3 linked regions of the Saccharomyces cerevisiae S288C genome follow. The protein of the gene in region 3 purifies or fractionates together with the protein of the main gene of each other region. This does not show direct contact. Each region holds a gene or a part of one and is shown on either strand. Other genes may lie near its edges.

Region 1 (5,963 bases), on a different chromosome or scaffold from region 3:
CGGGTGTGGGGGCGGTGGACCTCTTTGGTCAGTCATAGTGCCTACAATTGATCTATTGTTCTTTGTAATAAATTCTTTCTTTCAGGAACAGTAAAAACAGCCTAAAAATATGAAGTCGCCGTAGTAAACGTTATCTTCTAGTTACTATCAACACAGACGCCTTTTTAAATTCGAGGGTCAAGGCTGCTAGGCTGAGTGGTCGTTTGCTGTGTTTACCTCTAATCAAAAACTTATTATCTTTTTTTTTTCAGTCCTTTTTGCAAAGCAGGTACCTACTATTTTTCAAAATACACTAAAGGAACGGGCCCCCCGGCTTACTATTAATAAGGTCAGGACGGGGAAAAAGCAGCAATGCTCTGCCCCTCTGTTCTCGAAAAGACAAACGGTTGTTATATCCTGTATATCCAGCGGTATAATTTTGCCTCTTAGTTAATGCTAAACTATGATATTATACACATACACTAAGTAACATATACAATGAGCCAAGTGAAACGAATACATCACTTGAACAGCTTGGCGACAGAAATGGCCGTTTCTTGGTTCTTGTTCATAACCTTACCCACAGCGAGTTCGAAGTCTTCTTGAGTAACGTGTATTCTTCTTTCTCTTAAAGCATACATACCAGCTTCTGTACAGACACCTTTGACATCGGCACCAGAACAACCGTTCATCTTTTCAGCAACCTTTCTCAAGTTGATACCACGAGTTAGATTCATTTTTCTGGAATGGATTCTTAAAATTTCAGCTCTAGCTGCGACACTTGGAGGTGGAAATTCAATCTTCCTATCTATTCTACCGGGTCTCAAAAGTGCTGGATCTAGAATATCTAGTCTATTCGTGGCCATTATGATCTTGATATTTTTAGAAGTTTCAAACCCGTCCAATTGGTTTAGTAGTTCTAACATTGTTCTTTGAACTTCTGAATCACCACCACCAGAACCTTCTACACGAGTAGAGCCAATGGAATCGATTTCATCCATAAAGATAATTGAGGGAGCATGTTCTCTAGCCATCACAAACAGCTCACGGACCATACGGGAACCTTCGCCGATATACTTTTGTACCAGTTCCGCACCACTGACCCTGATGAATTTACAATCAGTGTGATGTGCGACAGCTCTTGCCAATAAGGTTTTCCCTGTACCAGGGGGGCCATATAAGATGACACCCTTTGGTTGCGCAATACCCAAACTTTCAAAAAGTTCAGGATGTTTTACGGGCAATTCAATAACTTCTTTAATCTCCTTTATTTGCTTTGTCAAACCACCAACCATATCGTATGTGGAATCAGGAACTTTTTCCACCATCATCAACGAAACTAGTGGGTCAGCCTTATTCTCAAGAACTTTATGCAACATATAAGAGTCACTCCTTAGACAAACTCTTTGAGATGCCTTTAAGTCCTTCACGTTTATATCTTTTGCAACATCCACGATGTATTTTCCCTCAGGTTGCACTTTAACGAGAACTTTTTTGTCAGACACGATCTTTATAACTTCACCCACATAAGATCCAGGTTCCTGTAATAGACGCAGTTCGTCCTTGATAAAACGTACTTTGTCATTCAATGCATTCCTTTGAGCTTCCAGTCTGCGAACATTTTCTGTTTTGGAGCGGATCTTTAATTCTGTTTCTTGGATCTTCTGTTCAAAATATGGTTTGATACCACTTTCGTGGGTTTCTAATACTATATTGGAGGATGTTACAGCAGCTGTCATTGTCGTGATAGTATCCCACTATACTGTTGTTCCGTTTACATAAAACCTAACCTAACTGTTACTGATATTACAACTTTTGCCACCTCGCTCGCATTTTGACAGTTTTAAAATACGAAAATTTCCGAACAAGAATAAGGGTAGAGAAGTATGCAAAATATGATTTCATATTAAAAAACCCAACCGAAGAAAAAGGGAAATAGAAAAACAAGTTTTCAGTCGCAAAAAGAGGTTAAACAAACGAGTCAGAAGCCAGCTCTTTCAAACAATGGGTATTATTGAAGAAAAGGCTCTTTTTGTTACGTGTGGGGCAACGGTGCCATTTCCAAAGCTCGTCTCATGTGTGCTAAGCGACGAATTCTGCCAAGAATTGATTCAATATGGATTCGTACGTCTAATCATTCAGTTTGGGAGAAACTACAGTTCTGAATTTGAGCATTTAGTGCAAGAACGCGGGGGCCAAAGAGAAAGCCAAAAAATTCCAATTGACCAGTTTGGCTGTGGCGACACCGCAAGACAGTATGTCCTGATGAACGGGAAATTAAAGGTGATCGGGTTTGACTTTTCGACCAAGATGCAAAGTATTATACGTGATTATTCAGATTTGGTCATATCACACGCTGGAACGGGCTCTATACTAGATTCTCTACGGTTGAATAAACCGTTGATAGTTTGCGTAAACGATTCTTTGATGGATAACCACCAGCAGCAGATAGCAGACAAGTTTGTAGAGTTGGGCTACGTATGGTCTTGTGCACCCACTGAAACAGGTTTGATAGCTGGTTTACGTGCATCTCAAACAGAGAAACTCAAACCATTCCCAGTTTCTCATAACCCGTCATTTGAGCGATTGCTAGTTGAAACTATATACAGCTAGTTAGTAAGATTTTAAAAGACGAAAAGAACGGAAAGTAGGACAACTACCAAAAAAAAAGATGGAAGGTTTCTTTGGTTAGTTAGCAGTATCCGCGTAATGCCTTAGACGTTTTTGATCAGAAAAAAATAAAACTTGATTTCGCCCAGGATCGAACTGGGGACGTTCTGCGTGTTAAGCAGATGCCATAACCGACTAGACCACGAAACCAGTTTTTTGATGTTTCGTTTAGGGACAAGAGTCCTATGAGAGTCCACTAAAATTCTAAAAATAATTGTATCAACAACCGTCATGCAGCTGTTGTATCAAGAATCGACCACCATCTATAGACTATTGTTCATAGCTGTATTACAATATCATATAAGATGTAAGGATAGAACGTGAAGATCGAGAAACAGTCAGCAGATTTAATGGAAGCTGAAATGCACGGATTGATAATGTAATAGAATAAGTGACAACATAAGAAATGAAAGAAAAAAAATAACATTAATATAATTTAGAAATGTTAGTTTCCTTCTATGAACTCTCGTATCCCTGGGGAGGACTTTCAATATATTCAGTATACCTACCGTTCAAATGATACTCTAAAATATCATCTATTAAGTGGTATTCAGGTTTTTCCCACGCAAGATTGAGTGCGTCAGGCAAAGCCACGATCGCAGATTACTCTCCTAACAATATTAAGATCGTCAAGAACATCCGGTTTTACTCAAGCGCTTAATACAACACGTCGGCTTTCGCTCAACTGCAGTATATTGTGTCTGTAACCTCTCCCGTCAAGTTTGCGCCACGGGCCCAATAACCAACTTCTGCGCCATTGTTACGGAAAAGTGGCCATCTTTGCTATGCTCGTAAGGCTAGCGCTCTCTAAGTACGCCAGCCCAAAAACTCCGTATCGCTCTTCATCGGAATTGCTATATCTACAGCCGACGGGCACTCTATGTATACTCATATCACAGCCACTGTTGCACTACATTATTCGCAGGGACTCCGAGATCGCTGAGCATGTTGCTAAGCAACTTACCAAGGTTGGAATGCATTATATAGTCCGATATAGACCCCGCTCGGACTATATTATATAAATTCAAATAGCACTTTCAACGAGTGTCTTAATCCGTCCTAGTTCCTGCTCTCGCTCCACGTTGTCATCCCACCCATTCGCACGGGTCTTCTGTGCGAATGAGCCACAACGGGGCCGAGTTCAGCGCGTGTCCGCCTACAACGTCCGCCAACTAGTGGCAATTGCTAGGCTACGCCGACCACGCTGACACGCACCGTTCTACTCGCTCTATGCTGCGGTGTGACGTGTGAACGCGCGATCGTTCGCAATCGTATCGTTTGCCAAGAAAAAAAGCCAATCGGAGAATCTGAAAATCGCTATTCGGCTTGCAGGTCGCACGCACTCAGAGTACGAAATGCCAAGTACCGGAATTTCCTTGGCCTTTTTTAAGTTTCTTCTCTTCTATTCTTTTTCCCCTTTCTTTCTTCCTTTGCTATCTGTCTGGTTTAAATAAACATAGTATTTTTTTGTGTCTAAGCCTCTTCCTCTTCTCTCGTACTTGCTCTACTACCACTTTACTTAATCGCCTTTCTTTGTTTTCTTTCTTCGTTATTTGTTCTTGGACTTTTCCGCTCCAATCCCAACGATTGGCTTCAAAACACGTTCTACTGTCTAGCAATTTCTGCAGGTGCCATTTTTCTTAGGCTTATACCCTTTCCTTTTCCCCTTACATTTGATTTCTTCTTCAAAGTTCCTTATAGTATTATTGTCTAAGCTCTATTGAGTCAAAAGTAACAATCTAGACGAAGAAAAAAAAAAAATAGAAAATAGACATCCCCGAATACGCATCATCTCACGCACGTACAAGATTTTAACGTTAAAGCCAAAGTACGCTAGTATAGTATCATCAGCATCACCCTCACTATCGGTAGCATTGACCAAACATGTCGTTACTGAGACTGTGGAACAAAGAATCAAGGGCACCATCAAAAATAAAGAGTCATGGTATTGTTGGCAGTTACGGCAACAGCATGCTGGCCCATAACAACGTGAAGCAATTTCGTATAGACATAGACGAACCGCATAGAGTATGGAAACCGAATGAAAGCATAACCGGAGAAGCGGTCATTGACATAAAGAGAGACATAACTAACGTAGCGATCAAATTATCGCTAGTATGTGAGGTTCGCGTGAAAACGGGGAACAGTCCAACCTCCAAGAATAAGAGAATTGAGAAAACCTTAGAGAAGTCGACGTTTCTTTATGGACAGGACTACGTAAAGACAGCTTTTTCGGCTAAGGAAAAGAAACCGCATGTTGACAAAACCACCATTCTCAATGGTTTAAGCAAGGGGGAACACAGGTTTCCCTTTAGGATACGAATACCACGAGGCAGAGGAATGTTGAGCTCTATAAAGTTCGAAAGGGGCTCGATAACATACTTCCTCTCTTGCACTTTAGAATCCCTCAACAACATCAACGGATTAAAAAAACCGGAAGCAAGATGCGAACGTGAGTTTGCAGTCATAGTTCCGCTGGACGTCTCGAGGCTGCCCAAGCCGAAAACTAAGACAGTGGTTTTACAATCAGCATCTATGGTCCAAAACAAAAAGAACAAATCTACAGAGGACGAATCCTCATCGTATACACAATTAACTCAAAAGTCTACTACTTCTAATTCTTCTAGCAGTTCAGTAAACTCCAAGACGTCCCCCTTACCAAATAAAACGGTGACTATATCCGTAGACATACCGCAGGCTGGATTCATGATTGGTGAAATTATCCCTATAGACGTTAAGATTGACCACTATAAGCCTTTCTATGCCCCTGCGGGTCTCACCACCACTTTGGTGAGGATATGTAGGGTGGGCGGTGCAGGCAAAGATGATCCTATGGAGACTTTCAGAAAAGATATATGTCAGAGTATCTCTCCTATATATATTAACCCTGAAACGTTGCAGTTTCAATCTAGAGTTTATCTGAAAGTGCCCCTTGATGCATTTTCGACCCTTACTACTGTGGGAAAATTTTTCTCCTTCCAATACTATATCGAGGTTATGGTTAACTTATCAAAAAAAAACGTGGTTTACACAGAATCTAATAGAATAATAGGAACTCCTATTGGAGAACAAAATGGCTTGGGCGTAGAGAATAATATCAACCGTATCCAAAGGAAAATGCTACGTATGGTCAATCCAGAAACGTTGGAGAACGATTCTGAGGGTTATGAATCCAGTATATTTTTCAAAGATATGGTAAATGTGGAAAAGCTAAAGAGACTGAGGAATGTAACTGGTATGTCCATAGAAACCGTCATAGGAACGACGAGATCCGAACAGCAGCAATCTGATGCAAGCATCCCATCCCAATCCTC
Region 2 (5,791 bases), on a different chromosome or scaffold from region 3:
CGGATTTATTTATGATATTCAGCACAAATTCAATGATAACGGGGTCATCAGATCCCACAATAGCTCCTATGAGTTTCGATATATCAGACATCTCTAATATCTTTGTGTTACCTATGTTGAAAATTAGCTTCGTAGTGCGAAATATAGCGCATTAACAACATGAGATGACAGCATTTGAACAAGTAATAAACCATCTCAAAAGTACTATCGTAGCCCTACATTGCTTCTTCAAAATATTCTCATGCGGGTAACATAATTACAACTTTTCGAATTGGTTATAACGAAGCGGTATCAGCATTGATTGGGATTCATTTGCAATAGATCAGATGATATCTCACTCTGCCAACAAAAAATGAGAAATTGTCTTATTTCTGATACATTTGCTATTATAACGGATGAAAAAACTATAATAACTTTATTTAATTTTATGAACGAGGAAGATAATTACTTTAGTATATCATTAGCAATCACCTTTTCCGTGTGATTACACTGAATATCTTTCACTGTGCCTGGAAGTCATCTACTTGTCTTATGCCATCTTTATCCACGATTTTAACAATGACGCCCTTGAAGTCCATTGGCATTCTTTTTTCAAGCTCTTGTACACATAGTTTTAATAAATCTAAACCCTCCTCAGTAGTCATATCAGGTCTATAATGATGATCTAGTAAAGAGAATGTGTAAAACCCCGAGTAACCATGAGCACCATAGGGTAATTCGACTTTAGTACCCAAGTAGTCAATTTGATATAGTTCCGGTTTGTTCTTCTTTTTGTCATAGCCTCCAATCAATACGTTGACTTGGTATGGTCTTCTCGACCTAATTGACTTGGCTAATTCTTGCCTAACAAAACTAGATACTGCTTGTGGAGAGAGCTCATAATCTTCTCTAATGGAGTATAATTGGATATTGGCTTGAATGTACTCGGCGAATTGAACGGTGTCACCAGCTTCACCGGCAAAACTCATCAATGTATGTGGCGATAATTGTCTCGTTTTATCATCAGAATCTTTTAAAACAGAAATACCTCTTGTGACTGCCTTAGAAGACGCTAGAATGACAGAATCCTGTACACGGATGCCCAGAATAATATCCATTTCTTAATATATCTTTCTTAGTATTGTATATGAACCTATTTAAAAGACGTGCCCGAAGTTTGTTCTTTTTTATTCGATTGACAGGTGCTCCCTTTTCTTGTAATTGGTGTTCAATATTCACTTTTCTTTATTTTTTGCCACCGTAAAGATTTCGCTGCGAAAGATGCCCCGGCCTAGATGTAGATGACGGAGCTTTGCTGATGCAGTAATACGCATTGATATTTGAGAGGCGTCGATAGTATCATAGAGAACCTGTCAAAAGGAATTCACCGCATGGTTTTCATAAGAGATTGCGTTATGAACAGTTTTCACTACGTTAATGAGCCTCGTTCGAATGTAAATCAGAGGACTTGTGGGCAGGAAAGTTATAATTATCTCTTCAATGAACCTAAAGAAATTACATGTTCAAGACTCGGTGTTAATTTATTTTAACTACGCCGCCTGTCTGAGTCCTTATAACGTGTAGGAATGGTAAAAACGATGGAGTGCAGAGCCTTCCTACTTTTTCGCTAAAAGACTAAAAGAAGGTGGTGTTATGTTGCTGTGCGCTTCTCGGATAGTCAGAACCCAGGCTCAAACTATCAGGATTCAGCCTATTTAATTTACTACCACATCATATTCATATGAGGTATGTCAAATTATGATTGTAGCCATCAAAAAAGTACTCCGATACGGGGAGTCGAACCCCGGTCTCCACGGTGAAAGCGTGATGTGATAGCCGTTACACTATATCGGATCAAAGTAGGTTGAAAAACCTTATTCTTCATGAATATCATCATGGTAGACGATATTTAGACAAAATATGATATATCAAAGATGCTGGAATATGAATTAGCAATGAGGAACAATCGTAATAAGTTTAAGTGTGGGTTACTTTGCTAGGTTGAGAAAAAGAATTGTTTAGAGGAATATTACCGAATGAATGATATTTTAAAGTTTCATTCCAACAGTAGTAGTACGAACACCAGCCGATAGAAGTGATAATTGGGTGAATTTTGAGATAATTGTTCGGATTCCATTGTTGGTAAAGGCTACAATATTATGTATACAGAATACCAGAAGTTTTTCCTCCGGGATATAGGAATCCTCAAAATGTAATCGGTATTTCTACACGATAATCACAATACTATGTAGAAATTTCCATACCCTTTTGTGGATTCGTATGTCCTTAAGGAGAACTCCTTGTTCATTTTGTGCACCTAATACTATGATCTCTAACAGCAATGGCATCCCAAAAATTACCTCAAAATTCATACATTCTCCAGTAGAATTTTTCTTTCTATCTTTGCCACCCCATTTCTTTAACGCCAGTAGTGTTATGTAAAATCGTTGTTGTTGAAGGTAAGTTTTCGAAGCTGCTAAAAAAGCATCAAAGGAAGATGATGATTTGACATGATGTTTCAATCAGCATGTGTCATGTCTACACATTCTAATTAGTTCTGTTACGTTATCAATCCTAGCATTTCAGCCTTCGTTGAATTCGGTTAATGTTCAGGTCTTCCTCAATGGTCTTTCAATACACTTTAAGTCTTCACACTGCACAAAATAATTTCTTGCAATAAGTTAATAAATTGATATCTTATACAAGTATCCAACAGACAGTAGTGCCAACACCGCTGGAACATTTAAAATATGGCACAGGAAAAACTATAGAAGACAAAATGAATTAAAAAAAAGAAAAATTAATCTTGTTATATATGCAATTAAAGAACCGAAACATATTTACATTAATTGTAAAGCAGAAGAAAGGACCGAAAGTAGTTAATAAAAAAGGGTATGACTATGGTTATTTTTTACGTAGTTATTATTAAAAACCAATAACTTATAACAACATAGCGGCAGCTGCGACAACACCAGCACCCATACCAACAAAGGCCTTAGCAGCACCGTTTTCAGTTTGCTCAGAAACAGCCTTGGTAGCTTGGATTTGACCATCGGTAATTTGAGAGATGGCAGAGGTCTTGGCACCAGTGGAGCTTGGAGCAGCAGAAGTTATCTTAGCTTCAGTGGAGCTTGGAGCAGCAGAAGAAGACTTAGCTTCAGAAGAGCTTGGGGCAGCAGAAGAAGACTTAGCTTCAGAAGAGCTTGGGGCAGCAGAAGAAGACTTAGCTTCAGAAGAGCTTGGGGCAGCAGAAGAAGACTTAGCTTCAGAAGAGCTTGAGGCAGCAGAAGAAGTTGGGGCAGCAGATGAGCTTGGGGCAGCAGAAGAAGTTGGAGCAGCAGAAGAGCTTGGGGCAGCAGAAGAAGAAGCATCACCATTCAAAGACTTCAAAGCTGGTTCCAATCTAGAGGAGTACCATGGAACCATGGTCAACATCTTGCTAACACCAGCAAAGTCAACCTCAGAGTACAAAGTAGTGTAGGAGTCGTCAGTGGCGGAAGCTAAAGCCATACCGATATCCAAAACACCAGCTGGCATACTGCTTAAGGAAAATCCAGAGGAAGAATCAGAAGCTAAGCTAATGTACTCTTGCAAGTGAGATTTGACATCGTTCAAAATAACGTTCAATTCGTTAATTTGATCTTGGGTTTGAGCGGAAGCCAAAGCAGCAATAGCAGCGAATAAAGCGATCTTAGTGTAAGCCATTTTTAATTATTGTAGTACTTGTTGAAAGCGAATGAAAAAGTCTGATATTTTCTTGGTTTTTTATGTAATTTAGAGGAGAAAAGCAAGCTGATTTCAAGCTAACAACAAGATTCAACCGACCTTTTATACAAAAGATTTCTTTGTCTGTCATTTTGCTTCACTTTTTTCTCTGTCAAGGGACAGTTGCATACAAACGCAGTTCAAAACGAAGAAAATAGAAGCAAACGACGTAATGCCGTGGCTGACTGGCATACACTGGAAATCTGTACCAACCGTATAGGTGAAAGAGACCCTTTATGGAACGAGAAAGTGCATTCTTCCCGCTATTGTATTGTTGGGTTCCTTAAACGATGCTGTAAAAACCTAAAACATGGTGCTGAAAATAAACGCGCGAAGAAAGATGGATCTAGCCAGGCACGGAAACGGAAACACGTACTAAAAAGGGACAGGCACTAAAACGGGTCTGGGGTCCTCCCTATTCTGCTTCGAAGCGCGCTCGGAAAACTTCCTTTTATAGCCGTCGTATAGAGAAAATTGAACCTTATTAGATCTGGCGATGGATTCTGTCATTCGTTGGGAACAATGCAGATTATCCAAGTTAGATGGAAACGGTTCACTTTTGCGCTGCAGGCTGTCGGCTGGGCCTTACTATTTATGGAAATCATTTATCGTTCTGTTTACACCCTTTAAGAAGATGGAGTAAAGTGTTGAGCGTGTTAGCTGATAATGACCGTTTCATAGCATTCAAAAACCGTTGCTGTGTAAAAAAAGTCTATTTCCATTGTGGATTGATAATTTTAAGAGACAAGCAGTTCCCATTTTTGTTCTTGCAGCAGATATTTTTAGTCTTCTCTCGAATAACAATAGAGAAAAGGCGGGTATGCTCAGATAGCACATAAATTATAAACAATGCAAGGCCATAAACTTGTAGATTGTCTTTTGTATCTTTTGACGTGATCAAAAGTAATAATAGCAGTGCTTATTTGAATTAAGAGTAAAACATAGTAATACTGGAAATAAGCCGGGATATTTGTAGATATGTATATGCGCAAGAAGGTGCCTATAGAACTGGCAAATGTAGGGAATGAGAAAATCTCTTGACACTTTTTGTACGCAATTTACTTGGCACATGAAGGCACAATTAAAAGCTACTCGCCCTTGTAAATTTGACTAAAAGATTTTCGTAGTCTATGTCTCCAGTTTGAATTGAACAACACCACGCAGTCTAGTAATGTTGAAGGCACCCTTTATGTGCAAATAAAGAAAACTTAGCCGCATAAGGTATCATTGCTGTAACTCCATGACTGTTATCCCCCGAAGAACTTTGTAATAACAATTGTAAGTTTTTAGGAAAGGTTCACTGTCGAGAATGACACTTTGGGTTAAGCATTTTAACAAATATTTTCGCTAGACACTGTGTGATGAAGCTATTTCTGAATAATTTTATATTTTGCCTTGAAATTTAATCATGAAATTATATCTGTAAAGGAAAATTAGGGAATGAAATACAAACAATACGAACATAATCCGTAAAAGTATAAATAATCCAAATACAAACTATACATGTGTATACAAGCTCATTTATAGAAATAAAAAGCAGTCGATAAGGAGCAGATAATCTGAGATCTTGCCCACCGCGTTTGGAGAATACCATCAGCTTACCCAAATAATCAGGAAAACTGCAAGCCCAGCTATTTTGCCAATAATAATTTCCGCCACTTAGGTCTGTATGTGAGTCAAACGTTGCTCATTCATTAATCTCTATGATGTATTACAGCTGGAAGTGATAAGAACGATAAAAAAAAGTGATCACCTTACTTAGCGCGAAAAAACTTGAACTGTATGGCTTTCCATAAACTAAACCAACTTTTAAAAAAATTAACAGTATAAGTAGAAACCGCCGTCCGCAATGTCAGATCTTCAAAAGTTACAGAGGTTCTCAACCTGTGATATTTCGGACGGATTGTTGAATGTTTATAACATTCCAACGGGTGGTTATTTCCCTAATCTAACAGCAATTTCTCCACCGCAAAATAGCTCCATAGTAGGCACTGCATACACAGTACTGTTTGCACCCATTGATGATCCAAGACCTGCCGTGAACTAT
Region 3 (5,180 bases):
AAGCCCTAGTTACTCGCTGTATTGAAAGGATCAAAAGACCAAAGACCACCAGGAATAATGAGTGAAGTTGCACCAGAGGAGATCATAGAGAATGCAGATGGATCTAGATCTATCATTACATACAAGATTGAAGACGGTGTCAAGTATAAGATTACTCAGAAAGTAAAAGAGGTTAAAGTATTGGAAAAAGTCCATAAATCTGTTGCAGAAAGAAAAAACTGGCATAAATATGGCTCTGAAAAAGGGTCTCCAGCAGGTCCAAGTGCTGTTACAGCAAGATTGGGTGAAGAAGTAGAATTAAGATTGAGTAGGAACTGGAAACAAGCTGAAGAAGAAAGAATACAAAAAGAAAAGGCAAGTCTCACAAAGACCGGTCTACAATGTAGATTATGTGGTAACGACCATATGACCATGAACTGTCCATTCAAGACAATTTTAAGTGAACTTTCAGCATTAGAAGACCCAGCCACTAATGAAGGCGGTGTCGAGGCCGCCAGTGAAGAGAAGGCAGGCCAAGTTGGCGGAGCTGGTTCCATCCCAGGGCAGTATGTTCCACCTTCTCGTCGTGCTGGTGCAAGAGATCCTTCATCCGATGCTTACAGAGACTCTAGAGAACGTGATGATATGTGTACTTTGAAGATTATGCAAGTTAATGAAAATGCCGATGAAAATAGTTTGAGAGAAGAGTTATTGTTCCCATTCGCACCCATTCCAAGAGTTTCTGTCGTTAGAAACAAAGAAACAGGTAAATCAAGAGGTCTCGCCTTTGTTACCTTTTCGAGCGAAGAAGTTGCCGAACAAGCTTTACGTTTCTTGGATGGTAGGGGTTATATGAATTTAATTTTACGTGTTGAATGGTCCAAACCTAAGGTTAAGGAATAGATGCACAGAATATGCTCTGCACTTGTTTTCTAATGTTACTCTTCTCATATAAAAATTGTAGATATTAAGAAAGAAAGTATGTAAACTAATCAATCTATACCTAAAAGAATATTGTTCAATATTCTATAAAGCACGCACGGCATGGTAAAATTTTTAACGATTGTAAGATTACAACAAGTTGCAATCCATTCAAGCTAAAAAATCAAAGCAAGGAAAAGCTCAGAGGCTGTCGTGAATATGTCAAATACCGTAAGAGCCATTTCACCAGATATAACACTATTCAACAAGACATTGACATTCCAAGAAATCTCACAAAACACTAGAGAGGCTGTCATATACATTCATGGAGGTGCATGGAACGATCCTGAGAATACGCCCAATGATTTTAATCAATTAGCCAATACCATCAAATCAATGGATACTGAGTCAACGGTTTGTCAATACTCTATAGAATACAGGTTATCACCAGAGATCACAAATCCAAGAAACTTATATGATGCTGTGTCAAATATAACAAGGCTTGTTAAAGAAAAGGGATTAACGAACATTAATATGGTGGGACATTCCGTTGGAGCTACCTTTATTTGGCAGATATTAGCTGCACTCAAAGATCCTCAAGAAAAAATGAGTGAAGCGCAATTGCAAATGTTGGGACTTTTGCAGATCGTGAAGAGAGTATTTCTATTGGATGGTATATACTCGTTAAAGGAACTGTTGGTAGAATACCCAGAGTATGATTGTTTTACAAGACTTGCCTTCCCTGATGGTATTCAAATGTACGAGGAAGAGCCCTCGAGAGTAATGCCTTACGTGAAGAAAGCCCTTTCTCGCTTCAGTATTGATATGCACCTAGTGCATTCTTATAGCGACGAGTTATTAACGTTAAGACAAACTAATTGTTTAATTTCTTGTCTTCAGGATTATCAGTTAAGTTTCAAGTTGTATTTGGACGATTTGGGTTTGCATAATGATGTTTATAAGAATGGTAAAGTTGCGAAGTATATTTTTGACAATATTTGTTGATAGTTGATTTTATTTCTGCATTTATATATATGTGTGCGTGTGTGTTTTATATATAACTGCCAATGGCCTAAACCCAGATGGATTGGCCACGAGCTTCCATTTTTTTGCCCAGTTTTTCTACTTGATCGTTCCATTCAACCAGTCTGTCCTTCATCTTTGTAATTTGGTCACCACTTATGATTCTTGGTTGGACCCAGGAGATGGTAACGAGTTCATTTACTTGGTCAATAGAACCCTTTAATAGACCCAAACTTATGGCTCTCATGACCAGGTGTTCGACATTATCCTTTGGTAGGTGTGTAGCCTTTGAAATATCTTCAAATGAAAGCATCCTAATATTTTTGACAAAAACTGTTTCAATTAATGTCATTAGGCAAATTTTTTGTCGTAAAAATGATTCATGTTGAGCCAATATAGGAATCTTTGATATTTGAACTTTTATCAATGAGTCGAATTTATCAAAATCACCAACGGTTAGAGCATTTAATAATTGGAAAAGCCAATCGTAATTGGAATCGTTGACTATAGTTTCCATTATTGGATGGTGTAATAGTTCGCCAAAATTATAGATTTTGTCACCTAACAATGCTGAGATACTCAAATCATAGGCCAATTGTTGACGTTCGGCTAAAGTAATGCTTGTAGATGGTTCTAAGGTAGAAAGGTATAATAGACTTGTGTAGTAGAAAGAATTGAAATCATTTTTAAATTTAAAATACTGGGAATTTGTAGAATAGAAGCTGTTTGTTATCCTTAATGGAATGGAATCCTTTTTATCCAATGTCTTTTCCAAATCATCTAATAAATCTCTTGCCTTAACGAGGTCGTTCTTTAACAGGTAAGTTCTAGCAATTTCGCTATCTATCAACAAAATACCATCACCATGGTCTTTTGATCCATTATTTCTTTGTTTTTTAGAGTCCAATTCTTGAAATTGAGCCTTCAAATCATCCAAATATTTTAAAGACTCATCGAAATCCTTAGAATCCTTCAAAGAGGCAAGTAGATACTTTACTACTGACAATTGGTTGATTTTATCATAAAATTTAGAAACGAAGTTATCATATAATCTGAGCCTCAATGGTGTAGATTTAGCATCATCAAAAAATTTAGTCAAGGATTCGGACAATTGGAACCACAATTTCTCTTCATAAAATTTCTCAAATTGTTCGAATAAAGGATGCAAAGAGGGATCTGCCTCCATGCGGAGAGTGCTTAATATGGTGTCAATTTCATGATTATTAAACATCTTGCGAAATATAATGTGGTTTCCTCGCGTGTGCCCACTGTTTGCTTTTTGGTACTTAATAGTTTCTTCAATCTAGGTCTAGCTTTTATTTGTTCTTACTTTTGCCACCGGATGAAAGCGGGGAGCGGGTAAGAATGAAAATGATAATAATAGGATAAATGAATGTGTGTATTCAAATTTTTCTAACGTATACGTTATATGTATATATATATATATATATATGTATATGCTATTTGCAACACGATGCGTGACGGTAATGCTTTTTATAGGGCCTCGTCGATTTGTAACTTTGCCAGTTTCCAATTCTTCAGACATTCTTTGATCCATGCTTTGAAGCTAGCTGCGAAAAGTTTCAAGATCTTTCCAATGGTCAAATTAATATGGTTATATGTATGCATTAAGCTGTTGTATGACGAATTGTTAATTTCTAGCATGTCTGATATACAGATTGATAGACAATCTTTCAATTTGGATAAATCTTGGTTCAACTGTTTGATCTGTTTAGATCTTTCTTGTTCAGTCAATTGTTTGATTTCTAATTTATTGAGATTCATTGTTGGCGTAGACGTTTTATAGTTTAGTTTACTTGCGCCTATATGAATTTCGTTTTGGTGTCCACTGGAGCTTGAATTTGAACTTGACTTCGATAGCGATCTTACGTCCTTTTTAACAAATGTCAGGTCAGCAGCCTTTGTATCTTTGTAATTTTCATCTGTCAATATAGTCGACCGCGTTAAACTTTCATTAATCTTCTGCAGTTGGTTTTCAATCTCAGTGAGACTCGAAAGTTTCGTTTCTTTTTCGATAATTAGCCTCTCTAATATTTTAAATTGCAAAAACTTTAATTTCTTGAAATTTAGAACTTTGAATGACTCATTTAAGAACTGCAATAACTCATTAATGGGGTCCTCAAGAATAGAGGTGTACTTTTCTATTAAGATCTCGGAAGAAATGTATATAACATCGAATGAATGGCCTGTCTTTTCAATATGACTAATAATTTCCATCATTGGGTTGTTTGAATTGTTTTCAGATTCGCGAAGGCTGTTGGGCATGGTTATGTCATTTTCCAAACTAAAAGCATTATAATATGCGCCTAATTCAGCAAAATACGTGGACAAGGAGTGGAAATGAGATTTATTTGATCTTATGTTTTTTAATAAATGGGTGATTATTCGCTTATAATTTTGGAATAAATTTTCAATATGTGTAAATTGAGATTCGTTTTGTAAAATTTCTGTTGGGAGGTTGGAAATTTCATTATGACTTTTTACTGTGATGTGTTGTTGCCAAATCGAATTATAGTTTCTCAGAGACGAGTTGGATGGAATAGGTAAAATAGAATGAAGGGGGCTTGGTTTTGTTGGGCTTAAAGGTGGAGCTAAAAGGTTATTCAAAGGTAGTATGATTATCGGCGACGAACTTAAAACATCTTTCCAATTAAATTCAGGGTTTAGAAATTTTTGAAAAACAATATCGTTGCTTATTTCTTGAATGTTCAGACAGTTAGACAAGAATGAATTGAGCATTTTCTTCCTGGTGGAGATAATTTTGGAATCATTTGCTGCGTTTATGGGACTCCATATGTATTTGAGAAGAGAATGCTTGGATGGAATGGGTGGAATAATTATCGTAGGAAGGAGTCTAGTTAGAGATTGCCTCAAAGAATGAAATTCAGAGTACCTTCTGATAATCTTGTTGTTTTCATATAGAATTACGTAACCGATAGCGTGTTTCCCCCATGGATCTTTGAAATCGCCGGCATCAATGATTTGGATCTGCTGTGTCCCATTCATATCGTGGGGAGTAAATTTGCTAATAGTAGCAGTAGTAGACATCGACAAGGAAACAAAAGGTTCAGTTTCCGCATCTGCTTCCACTACGGCATGAGAAGAGGTTGAAGATGACGTAGATGCTCTGGAAGAGCCAGCAGAAGAGGAATGTGCCGGGCTAGATGGCAAAGACGATGAAGAAGGGGGCGAATTTTCGTTCTCTGGGCGAGCTTCGCCGATAGTAGTCCCAATTC

Evidence for each region. The genes of interacting proteins can lie anywhere in the genome.
Region 1: the proteins of RPN9 (region 3) and RPT6 purify together in Saccharomyces cerevisiae (affinity purification with mass spectrometry; 5 studies listed by BioGRID, with this or other methods). This does not show direct contact.
Region 2: the proteins of RPN9 (region 3) and PRE1 purify together in Saccharomyces cerevisiae (affinity purification with mass spectrometry; 4 studies listed by BioGRID). This does not show direct contact.

What each region holds. Positions count from the first base shown.
Region 1 is NC_001139.9:409,569-415,531, forward strand, and holds RPT6 (proteasome regulatory particle base subunit RPT6), read right to left. Parts: upstream 1,719-5,963; coding exon 501-1,718; downstream 1-500. Other genes in the region: TIF4632 (translation initiation factor eIF4G), read right to left, coding at 1-36; N-acetylglucosaminyldiphosphodolichol N-acetylglucosaminyltransferase catalytic subunit ALG13, read left to right, coding at 1,984-2,592; RIM8 (Rim8p), read left to right, coding at 4,534-5,963. UniProt on the Saccharomyces cerevisiae protein: The 26S proteasome is involved in the ATP-dependent degradation of ubiquitinated proteins. The regulatory (or ATPase) complex confers ATP dependency and substrate specificity to the 26S complex.
Region 2 is NC_001137.3:173,141-178,931, reverse strand, and holds PRE1 (proteasome core particle subunit beta 4), read right to left. Parts: upstream 1,098-5,791; coding exon 501-1,097; downstream 1-500. Other genes in the region: DEAH-box ATP-dependent RNA helicase PRP22, read right to left, coding at 1-91; TIR1 (GPI-anchored mannoprotein), read right to left, coding at 2,920-3,684; YER010C (bifunctional 4-hydroxy-4-methyl-2-oxoglutarate aldolase/oxaloacetate decarboxylase), read left to right, coding at 5,594-5,791. UniProt on the Saccharomyces cerevisiae protein: Non-catalytic component of the proteasome which degrades poly-ubiquitinated proteins in the cytoplasm and in the nucleus. It is essential for the regulated turnover of proteins and for the removal of misfolded proteins.
Region 3 is NC_001136.10:1,320,179-1,325,358, reverse strand, and holds RPN9 (proteasome regulatory particle lid subunit RPN9), read right to left. Parts: upstream 3,155-5,180; coding exon 1,973-3,154; downstream 1-1,972. Other genes in the region: TIF35 (translation initiation factor eIF3 core subunit g), read left to right, coding at 58-882; BNA7 (arylformamidase), read left to right, coding at 1,120-1,905; SNX41 (Snx41p), read right to left, coding at 3,418-5,180. UniProt on the Saccharomyces cerevisiae protein: Acts as a regulatory subunit of the 26S proteasome which is involved in the ATP-dependent degradation of ubiquitinated proteins.